2 linked regions of the Mytilus edulis genome follow. The main gene of each other region encodes a partner of the protein of the gene in region 2 in a complex. Links are inferred from orthologs where the notes say so. Each region holds a gene or a part of one and is shown on either strand. Other genes may lie near its edges. The genes, in order: inhibitor of growth protein 4-like and peregrin-like.

Region 1 (9,648 bases), on a different chromosome or scaffold from region 2:
TAACTCCAATCAATTGAAAATTTCTTGCTATTGCACAATATTGTGCAATTAGATATCGCTTGCTATTGCGCAATACTGTACAATTGAAAATATAAGTACATTTTTAGATTCAGCATATCAAAGAACCCCAAGGATTCAATTTTTGTTAAAATCAAACTAAGTTTAATTTTGGACCCTTTGGACCTTAATGTAGACCAATTGGAAAACCAGACCAAAAATTAAGAATCTACATACACAGTTAGATCCAGCATATCAAAGAATCTCAATTATTCAATTTTTAATGAAATCAAACAAAGTTCAATTTTGAACCCTTTGGGGCCCTTATTCCTAAAAACCTGTTGGGACCAAAACTCCCAAAATCAAACCCAACCTTCCTTTTAAGGTCATAAACCTTGTGTTTAAATTTCAAAGATTTCTATTTACTTATACTAAAGTTATGGTGCGAAAACCAAGAATAATGCTTACTTGGGCCCCTTTTTGGCCCCTAATTCCTAAACTGTTCAGACCTTAACTCCCAAAATCAATCCCAACCTTCCTTTTGTGGTCATAAACCTTGTGTTTAAATTTCATTGATTTCTATTTACTTATACTGAAGTTATTGTGCGAAAACCAAGAATAATGCTTATTAGGGCCCTTTTTTGGCCCCTAATTCCTAAACTGTTTGAACTAAAACTCCTAAAATCAATCCCAACCTTCCTTTTGTGGTCATAAACCTTGTGTAAAAATTTCATAGATTTCTATTTACTTAAACTAAAGTTATAGTGCGAATACCAAGAAAATGCTTATTTGGGCCCTTTTTGGCCCCTAATTCCTAAAATTTTGGGACCAAAACTCCCACAATCAATCCCAACCTTCTTTTTGTGGTTATAAACCTTGTGTTAAAATTTCATAGATTTCTATTCACTTAAACTAAAGTTAGAGTGCGAAAACTAAAAGTATTCGCACGACGACGACGCCAACGTGATAGCAATATATGACGAAAAATTAAAATTTTTGCGGTCGTATAAAAATTGATGAATCAAAGAATTCAACTTCATGGTTAACTATTATAGGACAAAGGTACCCGGTGTGGATTAAAAATTACACCATTTCAGAACCTTTTGTCTTCTGAATAATTAATATTACCAATAATCAACAAGTTCCGGGTTGAATCCAATACTGATACCAAAAGAATATGTCATAAGGCCATGCAAAAAGGATTGTATGTTTCCCCCAACCCTGCCGATCTGTTTTAACCCTCCGTGTCAATTCTTTTTTTCTTTTTTTTTGCAGATGAGTTGTTGACAATTATCATTGATGCTTTTTAAAAATGTCTGATAATCTCTTAAAAGTGTTTCAACATGGCTCATTCCTTCAGTTTCACATACATGTAGATTATACCACAATATACAATGTGAAACAAACATTAATTACAGGTTAACAACAAAATTCTCTGTAGAACGAAACTGATTTTTCACAAAAAAATAAAATAAAATACAAAGTTTTTCCTGCCTGCCGAGGCTTAATAATTTTCACAAGGGCCTAAGTAGTTTCAAGGCTATATTGTAGGTTCAAACAGAAAGATTTAGAAAGCCAAGTAAACACTCCTAAAAATCTGTCTGGACTCACCATTTTCAAAACTGGTGAGTCCACATATGCATCAAAATTGAAATATTTTGTATACTAAACTGAACACAGTTTAACAAAAATATCATCATTTTATAGCAAAAGTTATATATATTTCAATAAAATATTTTCTTCTTGCTTTTGGACTCATCATGGCCAAAAATGATGAGTCCCTGGACTCGCCTTGAAAAAACCTTATCGAGTATGTAATCAGTATGACTTTTATCAGATGAAAATACAAATACTTTAAAATAAGGCATTAAGGTACAAGTACATTGATTCAATCAAGACCCTGAGTGTGTTCTAGCTCTTATAATAAAGATCAGATATTCCATTTTACCTTGTGCCCTTTGATCCAAGTCTCTCATTAAATTAAAGTTTCTTTGGAGTTCACTCGGTAAAGTCTCCAAACCTATAAAAGAAAAAAAATATGAATGTTATACACAAATGAATGTAATTCAGTTGTTTTCTGTTATTGTTTAGTTCATAAATCAGGCAATTAGTTATTGTTGTTGGGATTGTTTTTACGTTTGATATTTCAGGTACTTTCTATGTAATAGTTAACTATGCAGTGTGGTTTTAGCTCATTGTAAAAGTCAAAACCTCACTGGCATAAGTATTGTCATGTTATAGATTTTACATGCACTCTTGCATACTACAGATCTGGACACAGCAAGCCCTTAAAAAATCCCCGATAGATAATACAATGTTTGCAAGTACTGATAAAATTCCTCCTTTTACCGAAGAACCCCACAAGAGTTAAAGGGTACAGACAGTTGAATCCAATACACTCCTTATTGGGATCAATGGAGATGTGTCACTAACCAGTCTTCACGACGAACTTTTAAACTACAGGCCCGGAGCTCAATTTTTGAATTTTTTTAGTTAGTTTCTGTTAGCCTGTAGATATGATTTTTACAGGCCCAAGAGCAATTTTACTAGCCTGGACTGCCACTCAGCGTGAAGACTGACTAACCTATATTTACAATTGTTTACAAGGACAATCCCCACCCCTACACATGGGGTGTGCTAGATCACTAAGAGTCTGTTATCATGGTGGAGCAAGCTGAAGTACTAGGAGATATCCCATCGGGATGCTTGGCTGAAACAGACAAACCTGAGAGATGTCAAAAGAATTTAAGATGGATCCTTAGGTCAAAGTAAGGGGCAACATTGACCAACCAAAGCCCCCAATAAACCTATTCTTGTTTAAACTCCAATCTGGGTACCAGAGAATTGTGCGGGAGGGTGAGGCCAAATAAAAATATATGTGTGGTTCCAGTTACATACTTTTAAAAAATAGGGTCGGTAGGTCAGCAATTTTTTTTTTCTTTTTTTTTTTTAATGTCAAAATCCGGAAAAGAATCGTGTGTTTACCGAAATTGTTTCCCTTATTATACACGCCCCAACCAGAAGTCCGACATTTTTACATGTGTGTGGTTGTAAAATAAACAGCCATGATACGTTTTTAGTTAATTTTGTTGCATTCTGTTATGAATTCTTGCATTTTAGCCATAACAGATACTTGTGATGGAAATTCAGATGACAGAAATCTATGAATTTAATTATTTTAATTCATAATCCTCAAAATTTGATCGTTTGAAAATTTATTTTTGAGAAATGAAAAAAAAGTTCTAGGGTCGGTTTTAACTAGGGTCGGTCGGGTTACTGGAACCACACATATATTTTTATTTGGCCTGAGAGTTACCCTTGTGAAGTTCTAAAATTTCCAGCGCCCAGAGTCAGGATAGAACCGCCACACAACAAACCCACACTTATGTTTGACATACAGTAAGCAGTTGAGGTAAGGAAGTACACAAAAATGTACTTCTTTAGCTCAGTCAGGCCATTCATTAGGAGGCGGTACCCGGTACTTTTACCCTCCTATGCTATTGACAAGTACCGCCTAAATGTAGGAATTTTTATATAAGAAATTCATGGAATAAATTGAAAAGTACCACCTAGAAATGTGGAAAGTACCAGTCAACATGAAAAATAATGAAACCCCTGCTCAGTCAGTTAACGTGGTGCTTTGTAACACAGTGGTCCAGGGTTCAAGTCTCTGTGGATACATGCAATTTTGCAAGATGAATCATGCTCTCCGGGTTCCATACCAATTAGGCAATTTCAGTCAGTAGAAGTTTCACTTTCAATATTAGAAACAGGAAATGTAGCAAGCAAGAGTGATGACTTTGTTAGCAAGATGGGAATATCTATTTCATGTTAAGATAATGCTATCAAGTTAAGATTACCAACTACCGTGACTAAGTACTGCCTCTGACTTGTGTAAACATTCATTTGAAAATTTATAAAATTGCGCCAAAAAAATATTTCGAGCTGAGCCGCTCATTCCTTCAAGAGACATCGTTTGTATCTACACTATATGCCACCTGATCATATAAATATGAATGGGGAGATTGCTGAGGAAGGTCATTTTACTCATATAATTTGTCATATATATCTGTAACTTAAACTCACTATCTAAATAGTGTTCGAGATACATCGCAGTTGCCATTTTGGAGGTTTTTGGGTTTAATTGAATCACGTGACAATCTGTGTCAATGATGAGCATATTTCCGGTTTGCTATTTGTTTTGCTTTAAAACATTTCTCTGAATCAGTTTATATATTAAAGGTTAAAGGTTATAAATGTCAGATTAGTTATTTTGGGAATTACGTAGCTAGACAAAATGCATGAGGGTCTGGTGGAGTTTTACAGAATAGAGAGGAAAATGCGATATATCCCAACTCAGAGATAGACGAACGAAACTAGAAATTTTGACAGAAAGCATTTTTTTCGACAAAAAATAAATTTAAAGGCCCATCTAAGACTCATGGGAATATCAATATCATAAAAAAACCATCATGCATATAAAATCCCATGGACATTGTGAAATTGTGGAAAGGAAATCGAATAGTATGCAATTTGAACTTTGATGTTACGAAGGTATATAATTCCGTATTATTGACAGCCTCGAACAAACTTCATCATTACCCTTCTCAACTGGACTACTCAGTGTATATACGCGTAACAATTCATGACCCAATTTCTAAACATGATATCCCCCTTTTTTTACTATATTATGCATATAGTATTGATGTTTGAAAGGGTATAGATATGAAACAGAATTTGAACTTGAACTCTGAACTGTGAACGGACTTATTATGCAAAAGATATTGCCACCGTTATTTTTTAATTTAGGAGTTACGATGAGCAATGATGAGGTGGGTTACACAGAGTATCGATCGAGTCATTCAAAGAACCCTATCTACCTCACTATCTACATACAGGCGCGGATCCAGAAGGGGGGGGGGGGGTTCCGGGGGTTGGAACCCCCCTTTTTTTTGGACGATCAATGCATTTGAATGGGGACATGTAATTGGAACTCCCCCCCCCCTTTTGTCCTGGGTTAGGAACCCCCCTTTTCAAAATGGCTGGATCTGCCCCTGTCAGACATATATGTAACATATACACACATGATGAAGATTCAGAGGAAGCCAGTGTAATGTGTAGTTCCTGTTTGGAGTGGCAACATTTATCTTGTGCTAGACTAAAACAACTTCCAAAGGCAAAGAATTGGTTTTGTAACAATTGCAAATGTTAAAGTCATGTGTCCATTTGAAATTCATAGCAAACAACTATTAATAGTGTCCGTCGTGTCTGTTTTATGATGTAGTTTTGCTTAACACTATTTTCATCACTGGCAGGATATTTAAACATTGATTTTACACAGATTTGAAAATCAACATTTTTATAAATATTTTAGAAGAAAAATAAATATATTTTAAAAATTGTTATAAAGTTCACCTCACTTTATTACCGTATCATCTGTTACAGTAATTATAATTGACAAATCAGCAACTCTCACATGTCTGCCCATTCTTAAATAAACATGTAATTAAATAGATCAATTGAAGTTCTTATACACATGTTGTCATTCTGTAGTCTGACCATCAAACGATGTACTTGTTAATAAATTAGTTATAGAAACTGGATTGTATTATTACCTATCAAAGATATTACACATTTTGGCGACGAGGAAAAAACTGGATATTAAAATAAATGTGAATTTCTACAAGTGACAATGCCGACTTACGGGAAATTAGACTCTTTTGATGAATCCGAAGATTGGACACAATATGTAGAACGTATGGAACATTATTTTAATGCTAATGAGATAGACGAAGAAGACCAGAAAAGGGATATTTTCTTAAGTGTATGTGGGAAGAATATCTACAAATTAATAAGGGATTTATTAGCACCAGCCAAACCAGGAACGAAATCATTGGCCGATTTAACAAAACTAGTGAAAGACCACCGAGATCCAGTACCATCAGAAATCATTCAGAGATTTAAATTTAACAGTAGAACAAGACACAGTGATGAGTCAGTTAGGACATTTATTGCAGCACTACGAAGTCTGACAGAACACTGTAATTATGGTGACACGTTGAATGCGATGTTACGTGACAGGTTAGTCGTCGGGATAAAGAGTGACCGCATACAGAGGAGGCTGCTAGCAGAGCCGAATTTAACATTTGATAAGGCATTGGAAATTGCTACCGCTATGGAGACTGCAGAGAAGAATGCACAGGACATCCAAGCGAGTGGGACAAATGGAACATTTCAGAAACAAATCAATAAAGTTTCAAAATCATATACAAGAAACAACTCTGGAAATTCGAAACAAGGAGATTGTTACCGGTGTGGAGGAAATCACTTAGCCGCTGAATGCAGGTTTAAGGATGCAAAATGCCACAGCTGTAAAAAGAAAGGACATATCGCAAAGAAATGCCGTAACAAATCTACCAATGGGAATTTAAGTGAAAACCACAGAGAGTTTAAATCACGTTTCAAACCACGTGCTCATTTCATGGAGCAGGATGAAAGTAGCGAAAGTGAAAGTGAAAATGAAGTTTACTCAGTTTTTCATTTTGGAAATAAAACTAATGAGGCATATAAAGTGCAAATCAATGTAAATGAATGTGAAATAGCCATGGAAATAGATACCGGAGCGTCCGTTTCTATCATGAGCGAGGATACTTACAAGGAATACAAGTCGAAATTCAAAATCGAACCGACAAGTGCTAAACTCCGAACATACATGGGAGAGCAGATTCCTATAATAGGACGTGCAATCGTCAATGTCAACTACAAGAAGGAAAGTGCAAAATTACCATTACTGATAGTGAAGCGTAAAGGTCCGAATTTACTAGGCCGAGACTCACGGGTGTCATTCGGTTTATCGAGAGAAATGATCGTGAAAGAATATCTAACGGCGGTCAAGTATTGAGAGACGATCGTGAAAGTTTTGGTAACGGATCGTGAAAGACATTTAATGTACATTCTAGTTCAGAATCTTTGAAAAAATCGCTTAATTTTCAAAAAGCGGAACAAATCCGAACAAAAAAATATTTCTGTCAAAATGGTTTAACTTCCTCAACATAACTGTGAAAGAAGATAAAGAAAATATGAAGTACTTTTTGAAAAAACACAAAAGGCGCAATGCGTGTCTATGAAATTAATTACAAATAAAACGCTTTTTGTACCTATAATGGTCATATTTCAGAATATCATGATATATTTGAAATTTAATCTTTGGTGTATCTGATAGTACAGTAAAATTAAAGTATGTTCTTCCATTAAAAGCGTTAATTTGTTTATGAAAACCTTGAATTTGTTGAATTTCCATCAAACTTGATCGTGAAAGATCAGGCAACGTATTATTTCGATCGTGAAAGAAAATGCGTGACCAGACTTAATACTAGTAATCAGAAATCAGTATTTCTTTTACCATTTGATAAATCTGCAAGTGGTTGAAGCCTGTAACTATTTTGATAAGGATGAATATTAAAGCTATTATCTTTTTTTCTATTCAACACTTTACCTCGAAAGTTAAAAAAAAACCAAAACTAATAACGTGTCTTAATAAGTGTGAAAGATTCAGCTCTGTGAATCGGTCTAGTGCACTTCAGGCAGACCGACACTAGTTAGCCAATAATATGGATATGCAACGTTTAAACCAAAATGTTATCCATCAAACAAAAAATCATAGCAAAAACAGCACATTTCATGTGTAATTTTGGATTGAACGATAACCAACATTTTGCGCAACAGAACTTTTATAAACAACGCAGATAAGGATTGATTTAACTATATAGTACATACTATAGAATACCAAAGCGCAAATGCTGTAATGTCTTGTTTGCTTTACTTATGATAGTATATTTGTTGAACGTCTATAATATCAAGGGTTTTACTAGAAGTGTCAAATGCGCTTAAGATTGTCAATATTTCATAAAAAAGGTCAAGGTCAAATGAACCATGCCATACAGATCTCTACAAATATCCCGTACGCCAAATAAATGTGTTTCCGCTCCTTACAGTGCCTTAAAAACTGACAAATGTAAAAGTTATGCTTGGCCAATTAATTCGGAACATAAGGTCAAAAGTATATGAACCCTGACCGTCAGCCAGACATAGACATCTTACTATCATTTAATAAATCAAACACAATTGAAGTCATCATGGTCATATAAGAAACATGCACACAGACATGTACACCATACACGACACACCTTGTCGCTATAGCATACAGGTATACATTCAAAAAGCCCAACAACATATATTAAGACAAACATTGCCGAATGATGCAGGATAATGAGTTCAATGTTAGTTGAAACCTTGCACAAGTCGAAAATATACACCTTACAATCATAACAACAGACAGTTATCCTAAAGCTTAACGAATCCTCGATACGGACATGACCACTAAAATGAATCTTCATCCATGAAATGAGGCAAATTCAGGGTCAGGTGAATCCTGTCTGACGGACATTAAGTTTATAGGATCCAATATACAAAATATGGGTATCCTATAACTCATGATAAGTGAGTACTTCACATGACAATAAAAAAAACTTCATCCTACAATCATCCAACTATTTTACAAACAACATATTCACAAATGCCCAAATAATAATTTTAGTGTATTTGCGCGTCTGGCGTACTAAATTATAATCCTAGTACCTTTTGATAACTATTTATACCACTGGGGCGATGCCATTGCGTTTGAATTTTTCGAAAAACTAAGGATTACCATAGTCGTATTTGGTATGTAACTTTTTGGAATTTTTGATCCTCCATGCTCTTCAACTTTCTACTTGTTTGGCTTAACAAATATTTTTTATATTGAAGGTGTTGACCTATCTAGCCTTTCTCAATACCAATAACAAATATCAATTATCATATAATGGAAGAATAATTTGAACGTCTTCGTAGCATCAGATCTTTCACGATCCTTTTCACGATCTTCAAAAATGCGGTACGTGATCTTTCACGATCCAAAAAATCAATTTTGTGTAAATAGTTCTTTATTTACCAAGTTTCAGATTATATTTATACAAAATAACTATGAGAACCGTTTAATTAATTTAAATACAATACCCTTATTCTGATAAACGTAGTTTATCTAGTCGAATTTGTGAAAAAATCGTGTTTGTTTACATTTTTTATGTCATTGAAATGTCGAGAAGCAATATGCCTTTTGTCGTTTTGTAATAACTATGTACTTTTGAAACTGGATATTCTGACATACTGATCATAATGTTGAACCATTTTGACAGACAGTTTTATTTTGTCGCAAATGTGTCTGTGTAATTAAATAAATTAGAATATTTACTAACGTTTCATATGTCTTCTCGATTAAATGTCTTTCACGATCCGTTACCAGAACTTTCACGATCGTCTCTCAATACTTGACCGCCGTCAGATATTCTTTCACGATCATTTCTCTCGATAAACCGAATGACACCCGTGAGACTGGTTGAACAAACTCCAACTGGATTGGAAGGATATTTTCTCCGTCGTTGGAAGTGACAATCAATCGAGGGATTTAAATGTGATCTTGGAAGCAAATAAGGAGGTTTTCAAAGATGAACTTGGAACTGTAAAAGGCATGAAAGCAAAAATTTATGTCGATGAGAGTGCCGTACCGAAATATTTCAAGGCTCGCCCTTTGCCGTATGCGTTGAAGGATAAAGT
Region 2 (10,195 bases):
ACTATCATTTAACATAGGTGTACAGTCTGAGTCAGCTGGTGCATGAACATCACAATAGGCTGTTTTACGAACAGTCACAGTTAAACCACTAGGCTCTTTTACAGGTTCTATTTTCATATAAAGGCCTGCCTGCTGAGCACAAGTCACATGAAATGCAGTATAACAGTTTGTTTTGTGGCACTGAATGCATGCCCCAGTCCCTCTCTGTTTACAAATATAACATGATAACCGCCATCGTGCAGGAGGAATTCTCTCCATACTATCTATGGGCTCTAAAAACACTGTGTTTGCAAACCCTACTTCAGGTATCCATAATGCACATACCACATGAGCCCATTTTCCATCATCAGTTTGTTTGAAAGCACCGCCCTTATTTGGACATAGACAACAATCAACTGCTCGAGAGGGAGACTGAAGACACCGCCTACACAACCATTGTCCTTCAGGAATATATGGAACACCATAACATTCCTGGTGCACAGCCAAGTTACACATGTCACAAAATAAAATCACATTACTATTTTGACATTCACCATCCATACAAATACTACAAACAGCATCTTCATCAATAGGAGGACCAATATCCTTTCCGGAGGACTGACTTTGGAAAAATGCTTCTTTTTCAAATCTGTCCATTAAAAGTTCAAAATCTGCTTGATTTACCAGAGTAAGTCCATCTGTTTCTCTCTTTTTGTTCAACAGTTCCAACCATGCATGATCCTGAAAAAAATATAAAATATCCTAAGCATTGATGTTTACTTTACAGCAATTTTTCAATAAAATTTACATGGGTTGAATGAATGGGCCAATATAACTTGATAACTACATGTACATGTAAGTGACAAACTGAAATTTTATTCAAAATTTTCAATGGGAGACAATTTTTTAATACATTTTGTAGCTTGATTGAGCTAATATTGATCATGAATATATATAGCAAGATAAAGCTACATATGTACATGTACATGAGCTCAAACTGCATATATGTAGCGTATATAGTTCAGGACTCAGGAGCCTGTAATTCAGTGGTTGTTGTTTGTTGCTATGTTACATATTTGTTTACTTTCATTATTTTTACATAAATTAGGCCATTTGTTTGAATTGTTTTACATTTTGGGGCCTTTTAAAGCTGACTATGTGGCATGGGCTTTGCTCATTGTTGAAGGCTGTACGGTGACATAATATGTTAATTTCTGTGTCATTTGGTCTCTTGTGAAGAGTTGTTTCATTGGCAATCATACCACACCTTCTTTTGTAGAACCTGAGTAAAAGTAAAATATAAGGTAGACAATTATACATTGTAGGTACAAATTAGGGAAAGATGATAAATATACATGTAGATAGCAGATATAGATGCATAATTCTTTATTCTAAGATACTATTTCATCAAAATCATATGTACATCTTTGTTATTGCAATATCTCTTATAAATTGTTAATGACCTCAGATAGTAAATTTTCTTGTCTAGAAAGTTTACTCACCTCTTCATCCATATCATACTCCACTTCATCATCCAACTCATCTGTAGATTTTTCAATATAACGATAATATGAGTTTGGCCTTGGTTTAGGATTAGTTGGCTTGATATAATTGTCTACAATCTTAAACTGTGCCTCTGGTAATTTACCGTCATTGTTTCTATCAGCAGGTGCTGGTGTTTCTTTGTTTTTAGTTTTGTTCTTATCTGTATGCTGCTTAGTTACTTTGGGGACTTTCTCTGCTTTCTCTTCCTTTTCTTTATTACTCTGGTTATCGATCTGATCTTGAGATATAATTTCCAAAGGCTCATATATATTTATCCTATGAATCCTACCATCAACATCAATTTCCACCAGTCTTTGTGATTCAGCATAGGTTAGAGTCTCCAGTCTTGGAGCTGGTTTAACAAATTCTGGTGGAGTGGGAGATCTACGCATTGATCTGTGATGGCCCCATCTTCCCTTCTTCTTACCAGGTTTTTTACCAGTTGGAGTAGGACTGTTATTCTCTGGGTTATCATGATCATAATTATAAAGATGAAACTGAATACCACAATAACTTTTATACACTTTACCACAGTCTTTAACCGGACATTCATAAGGTGGTTTAGTGGCCTTCAAGTTTTGACAAAAATCTCTGACATCAAAATCATACACCATTCTGATGAAATTCCTACACCATTTCAAGTCTAAAATAAAGAAAATATACAATTATGTATGGTAATTATAAAAATCTTCTGTGCATGCCAATTACTAGATTACAGTTATTTCAGAGTTTGTCAAATATTTGCTCAAGTCTGGCTGAAATTTCACTCTGTGAAAAGTGTTTTAATCATTTATTTTACAATCCAGATACAGTTATTCTAAAGCCTACATTGTTATATAGCTAAATGTTTTGTTTTATCAATGAAGCAGGAAAATGGTTTAGCAGGGTCCTTAAGTATACATTGTAATACTTTGTGTCACAGTAAATATACATTGTAGATTCTACCACTGTATCAAGAAGTGTGATACAATTATTTATCCACTTACAACATTTAAATTTCAAATGCAAAACGTGAGGCTTGTTGTGCATCTAAAATTTTAACTGTTGAGAGTTGATAAATATTGTATTGCATGAGTTTTGGTGTTGTAATATCTTTCTCTTATGCAGACAATATTAATCCTTCTTTTTGAAAGACCTGCAAAAAGATGTGTTCTTTTTGTGTAACATTGTCAGACATGGTCACCTTTTTTTCAATAGGAAAGCAAGAAAATTTTAACCAAAAAAGAACTGATTCATGAAGGCTTTTTCCAAATTTGAAAATCTGTTCCACTAAAACTTTTGACATCAGTTATCATACAACAATCACTTTTTCATTGTGACATCAAATATTTTCTATTTTAAGACATCAAATAAAATTAACGGTATCAATTTTCTTGCACCAGATGCGCATTTCGACAATACATGTCTCTTCAGTGATGCTCGTGGCCAAAATATTTGAAATCCAAAGCTTATATAAAAGATGAAGAGCTATAATCCAAAAGGTCCAAAAAGTATAGCCAAATCCGTGAAAGGAATCAGAGCTTTGCATGAGGGAGATACATTCCTTAATTTATAATAATTTCTATCATTTTGTAACAGCAAATTTTAATAACATTATATTACGGGGAAGTTGTGTGATGTCCAGTAATGGCAGACAAAAGCTATACGGTGTATGGACTGCATCGTAACTCATTGACACTCAAGGATTTCTATTTTTATTCATTTTTCCATACCAAATCTAAATGAAAAAGTTAACATATCATATTATTGTTAAAAACCAATGATTGTTAAATAACTAATGTGAACAACTCAGATTCACCCAGCAAAACTATTTCATCGTGTCCATCATTTGTACCAAATTTAAATTTGTTATGATTTGTCCATGTCGGTTAAAAGCTCATTAGAGCTTATGTTTGTCTATGTTTTATATACCATGCCGACTCTAAATAAAGCTTATTTATTATTATTTATTTATTATTATTAACATTGCCATTTAAATGTTTTATATTTATATGTCATATACAATGTATATGAACAGAAGTAATTTTTGAAACTCATAGTCAAGCTTCTTAACTTGCAAAAAAGAGGGGAAAAGATAAGGTTATAAATGAAGTCATCAATATCATAAGAAATTTGACTACGTCCTTCTTTTTACAGATGTAAACAAAAAAGTTGAACCAGTTTCCGGTTTCGGGACTACAACTTAAAACCAAATTGTAAGCAGTTTTGCGATATCTACCTCATAATTCACAACGATGAGAATAAATTACGTCTATATTAACATTATACATTATCTGATATGCAGCCAACAACAGCCTGTTACAACAAGTCAAATCGACACCGACGCCGCAGCTCATGGATCGATTGTGGGCAGACAATGAAATCGGTGAATTGATTAAATTTCGATGAATTACTGAAAATTTACAATATAAAACTGATACGAATTGTTTCCTTTGTTCATTTTCAACCAGAACATTTATGTCTGCGTTGGTATCATTGTGTATGCTATGTGAAAATAAGTGAAATAACAAACCTCAACAGTGCGTCCTCTTCGTTTGGCCAAGCAAGCATATGCGCATATGATGTTGCGCAGCCCATTTCCGTTTTTCATATTTCCTAAAAGTTTAAAGCGGGAATTTTATAAAAAAAAATCATAGATCATAAGAATCACAATGATTGCAACGATTCTTTAATATCATCGTATATACATGTATATTACAGTAATATACAAATTATTGTTTTTTGGAAAAGGGGGGGGGGGGGGGGGGGGGGTAACTGTTTTTGCCAAAATCGAGGTGTTGTTAACATGTTAATTAGTGGACCCCATATCCCCTTCTCATTATATGTATATGATTTTATCTATGTATGAGACCCGGCCGGCACTGATCATGTGACCATGGACATCATTAATCCATGTATTCAGGGGTAGATTTAGGATCAACTGACCTACGACTTTGATTTTAAAGTTTCTATAAATATTATCAGAAGTCCATATTAGGGGTCATATTATACACTTCAAAGGAAGGTGTCAAACGCAGTCCTTCGTTTGAAGACACATATTATAGGCCGTTTTTAGCAGTTAAAGTAAAACAATTGTAACATTGTATTTGCGGTTTTTATAATCAATTTGATTTTCTTTGATAATCGAACTTCCAAACTGCCATCCCTTACTCACTTTCACAATTTTATCATGGCACGGCCAAGAAAACAGTCCAAGTTAGATTCTTTCTTAATATCCTAAATGAAAGATAGAACACTGTTTCAAGCGAACAGTTAGTTTATTAATTTTAATCTCCGGTCTATGTCTATATACATTTCTCATTTGCAACCTAAAATTTTTGCAGAATTATTATATATATGTACCGTATTACGTACATGCATGGGATCCCAAGAAAATAAACATAACTTCGTAAATTATGCTTCACATTCTAGTTTTAGCGAATACAGTATATATAAAGTGTGACACGACCTCCGAAAATAATAACAAAAAAAACCCAGATATAATATAAGGACAATTTAAATTGGAAATTTTCGTTTGCAAAATCTAATACTATCTTTGGTTATGGGGCTATTGTGATCTGTCTCGTCTCACTTTGCGTCCGTCGGTCGGTCCGTCCGTCTATCTGTCAACGCCGGCTTCACATTTCCATCGTCTGAGCCGCCAAGTTTGGCAGGGCTGGTGTTATGGAGTGTGAAAGTAATTCTTTAGTTAACCTGTTTCATTTCACATTATTGAAAGCATGTACAATTGGCTTAGACACATTAACGATGTGCAAAACAAGGGTTTTTTGGGGGATTTTTTTTGTGGTGCTTCTATATATATCTCTTTATGTCACAACTACTAGCACCTTGCCTTTCGAGGTTTATATAGTTCAGATGTCAGCTGATATTGCTGTATAGATAATTTTACAACAATTAAGTGTTGGTGTCTTGAAATTGTAGATTGGTTTGCATAGGAACACATAATCAAAATAAAATGTACACATGATCTTCAGCTTCTGTTTGGGACTGCAGCTTTATAAACTCATATGGCAATATGAATCTCTTAGTGCGTAAGTTAGAGGTAGTATACCTGACATAATATAATGACTTCACAGTTCAGCTAACAAACAAGTTAACCACAGATATAGCCTTGTCTACACACTCAATGAAATCGGCTGTAAATAGAAATCGAAAAAAGACATAAAAGCTTATGGCTAAAATGAAAGGTCCGAACAGAAATCTAAAGTCTACAAAACACAACACAACACGGAAAACAAAGATTGAGCAACACAAACCCCACCAAACACCGCAGTTGCACTAAGATGCTCTTGAATTCTAAGCAGTTTCTGGTTCAACCAAGAAACTAACGCCCTGGAATAATGTATCAACATGGAGATATTGATATAGATTCATGAAATTGGGAAATGAAAATGACAAAGGATAAATTGAAATACTAGTTATCTCTTTGTCGTGCAATTTAGTTCGCAACTGACCGTTACTGACATGACATTTTCTCGATGCTAGTCAATAGATGATGTGGACCTAACTACGTGTGTGGAATGCTTTGTTTCAAGTTCGGTTGGACGGATTACTAGTGAGAAAACATCATCCATATATACGAAAAGTGAAGTTAAAGGATATACCTGCAATAGCTTTTTTTTTCATTCTCATGAAGAAAAAAAACATTTATGAATTCTGTCTCACATAAAAATAATAGGACACATGCATCACTTAAGAAGATGCCCGTGTGTTAGTGTTTGTTCTCTTGGAATGCGATCGTCATTTAAACCACTTTCATGCATCAAACGAAACGAGTATGCTGCCAAAGAGTGGTGAAACGGAAACCAAAAGGATATTCAAACGCAAAAGTGGGAAATATACTGATAACGACATGACTAAAAAAAGCAAAGATAAACAGACAAAAAATAGTACATAAAACACAAAATAGAAAACTAAAAACTGAGCAACACGAGAGAAGAACATAAATTGCTACTAACGCAAGTTTGGATGTGAAACATTTTTGGTCACAGTCGAGACGAATTATATATAAATTATGGTATTCCACGAGTTATCCGATGGAGAAGCATGTCTGTCGTAAAGTTGTCATATATTTGAACGTATATACATAAAGTTGTCCCAAATGATATCTTATTAAAAAAAATCATAGCTAACATTCCATAATATTGTGAGTCAAGTTATTGTGTAACAGGGACACCAACGTAAAAAGTAATCAAAAACAAAGAAAAACAGATAAGACAACAAGAGTAATTCATGTGTTCTGACAAAGTAACTGTGATAGTCTAGAGTGCGAGATGTCGATCGTGGATTCAATACCCTATCGATTCAAATTAACTTTAATGTGGCATTAAGTAGAAATACAAGCAAATACTGTTCGATTTGGAGTCGATCTAACATTCGTGTAATATTTGCCACCGGACGTTTTGGTGTGTAAACAAAGACTTGTTATAATTCCAAAATTGAGAATGGAAATGGGGAATTTATCAAAGACAACAACCCAACCAAAGAGCAGACAACATGCTTGTCACCATTGGCAATTGAATTATAGTTTGAACGACGCGGGATTTCAACATGGATAGTGATACGCTTCCGTAGATATTTTTTTAATTTTCTATCAACTCTTAACAAGTAAATTGATATATGAATTTGTGACTTTAATCGTGTACCACTTGTATTTTTTAAGAATTTGGTTTTCTTCCATTCTCGGGTTATTATGAATGCAGATTTTGTACCCACATCTGTCAAAAGTAACCACACTTCTCATTAATAAACAGTGAGACATTTCATCTAAGTTTGGAAGTTTTTTATTATCTTATTTTTCATTTGAGATCATCTAACCATAAACACGTTTGGAGAGCACTCTAAATTCTGCTGATTACCACATTAACGAGTGAAGGATGTGAGAAGAGACTGTCGTGATATACCCAATTACATCAAATATGGATCAATGATCTCATTTCAAACTTAAATATGATATGCGATATACCTGTTATTACATTTTACTCGTTACACAGCAAATAGACATAAATCCTTGTTGACGTCATCACAATACAACGATTTTATATTTCCGTAAACAGAAAAGACCTCCTCTGATTTTGATTTGCATCATCGTACTCTCCTAGTTGCTTTGTTTATCACTCTATGAGGGAGGGGGTATTCAGGGTCATCTATGTATAATTAAAATTAACTGGTGTACCTCGAAATGAACATACATGATATATTTGCCACTGAACGAAAAGAAAACTATGTCTGCTCTTATATCAAACAATCCAATTAAAACCCTTTTTGATATGACATTAAAGTCAAAGTATCCGGCTCGTCAAACCATTAATTGGACTTCTCTATAATTTGAAGTCGCCGGCCTAGATATGTGCGTGAAATATTAACCACTGGACAATCAGTAACTGTTAAACATCTGAAGGTCATTGATCATAAATGATGAAAAGGAAATGAAAAAATACTGCAAACCTGAGCAAACAAAACTTCAAATAGAATATGAATTCTATGTTATTTACTTGTAAGAACGTGTAACAATTTGAACTTACTAACAAGGGGTACATTCGCGATTGCAGAGAGGTATATTTTCTTCGGATTTGTCACAAGTTAGTTAGGTGACAAATTAGTCGATGATGCTTAATTTCTATTGGAAATCAGAAGCGGAAAAATCAGCATTCATGACCCTGTGTGTTATTCAAACAAATCGTTTTGATTAATAATGTTGGTAAAAAATGCAGAAAAACATATGTCTCGATAGTTCGTAACACGAAAATAAAGTGGTTATCTCCCTTTTACTGTGATACATTTAAAAAAAATATGAAGACAGTATTAAACACATATCACAAGACCTATTTTAAAGTTCCAAAGTGACATTACAACTAGATACTTAACATTAAGACAATTATCATTAAATCTCATTTCTTGCTTTGTTATGGTTTTGTTTTATTAAAAGTTTTCTTCATTACTAATCCGTTTCATCATACAAATTTAAAGTTGGTTTAGACAGGAGTAATATTTTGTATATTTAAAAAAAAAGACTAAGTACTTTCTCGGATTAAGTGGTGCTTTTATATTATAACTTTCACTATATAGAATCATATTATCAGATCTTTCTCTTCGATACTTTTTTAAATGGTCCAACAGGACAAATGGATGTAAATCCAAACTCCTGCAATCCTCTTCTATATACGCCAACTGTTTTATCAGACTTCGTCAACCAAAGCTAAGTATTTTCGAGTTGGTTTATTTTATTGTCATTTTAGATCGACTTTTTCGTTTTCGTTTAAAGACGAATTTTCTTTGTAAATCATAAATTGGTAGACGTTACAAGTAACATATAAACGCCTAATGAGGGCCAAAATGAAATAATATATCTGAAAGATTAAACAGTGCTTTTCTTCAGACACACTTTGTGTTAACGAGGGGGAAGTGTAATGGGTATTAAATTTTTTAACAAATATTCAACTCTACACAAAAATTTGAGTGTTGTTATATCAATATCAGAAGTAGAGTGACCGACATTAAATCATTAAGCCTCGGTCACACCTTACCGGATAACACGAACGGACGCCTAACGGATGAAAATAAATGTTGTCCGTTGACAAAATTGTTATCCGTTGGGAGTCCGTTGATGTACTGACCGAATAAAACGGACGTGTAATGAATGCCTAACGGACACACACCGGATATGCAACGTACGAGAAACGGAAACGTACCGGACAGAACGGATGTCGAACGTACATCCAACGGACGAGTACCGCATAAAACGGACACCTAACGGAAGCGTACCGGATAAAACGGACCATTAAGATATACGGAAAAATTAAAGGCGACAATAATAATACATGTAAATCGCATTAATATTCAAAATGTTTCTGTGTACATGGTTTTGGTTTGTTCTTCAAAATGCCGCCAATGGACAATGTATGGCCTGGATAAGAGCAGCTTGACTGTGAAGACGTGCCCTTACTTTAAGACCGATTATGAATAATGAAAGTTTATGAACCTTAATAAATCTGACATACCGATAATTGTCATTTCTGACGCGAAATTTTCAATTGACATTTATCCGTTTCAGATCCGTTATACGTCCGGTAGAAGTCCGTTTCTCATTCGTTGAACATCCGTTTTATCCGTTAAACAACCGGTAGAAGTCCGTTGGGGAAATTATCTTTCAGACCTCCAATGGATGTATAACGGACACGTAACGGATACAAAACGGACACCAAACGGACGAGTACCGTACAAAACGGACGCCTAACGGACGTTCAACGGACATTTTATCCGTTGGACGTCCGTTCAAAGTTTTGAACATGCTCAAAATTTTCCACCGGACAGAACGGACGCCGACGGATAAAACGTACGCTTAACGGACATGCAACGGATATGGACGGACGTCTAACGGATAAGAACGGACGTCTAACGGACATGAACGGATTGAAAAAAAGTTATCCGTTAGGCGTCCGTTCGAGCTATCCGGTAAGGTGTTACCGAGGCTTTAGGAAACAACTGTACATGAAGATTAAGTACTGCGAGCTTGATTTCATGCAGTTAATATGATATAAAAAAGAAGACGTGGTATGATTGCTAATGAGACAACCCTCCACAAGAGACCACCTCCACAAGAGACCATAAGACACAGAAATTAACAAAAATATATAGGTCACCGTACGGCCTTCAACATTGAGCAAAGCCC

Evidence for each region.
Region 1: peregrin-like (region 2) and inhibitor of growth protein 4-like share a complex: the UniProt entries of both Drosophila melanogaster proteins name them as parts of the enok complex. The link is inferred for Mytilus edulis from reciprocal best matches to the Drosophila melanogaster genes Br140 and Ing5.

Annotation. Positions count from the first base shown.
Region 1 is NC_092356.1:22,468,631-22,478,278, forward strand, and holds the start of inhibitor of growth protein 4-like, read right to left. Parts: upstream 4,173-9,648; 5' UTR 4,121-4,172; coding exon 4,084-4,120; intron 2,018-4,083; coding exon 1,946-2,017; intron 1-1,945. Other genes in the region: uncharacterized protein, read left to right, coding at 5,690-6,898. UniProt on the Drosophila melanogaster protein: Component of the Enok complex which has a histone H3 acetyltransferase activity.
Region 2 is NC_092344.1:104,015,089-104,025,283, forward strand, and holds the start of peregrin-like, read right to left. Parts: upstream 4,126-10,195; 5' UTR 4,037-4,125; intron 2,168-4,036; 5' UTR 2,139-2,167; coding exon 1,482-2,138; intron 721-1,481; coding exon 1-720. UniProt on the Drosophila melanogaster protein: Scaffold subunit of the histone acetyltransferase (HAT) Enok complex which has histone H3 acetyltransferase activity.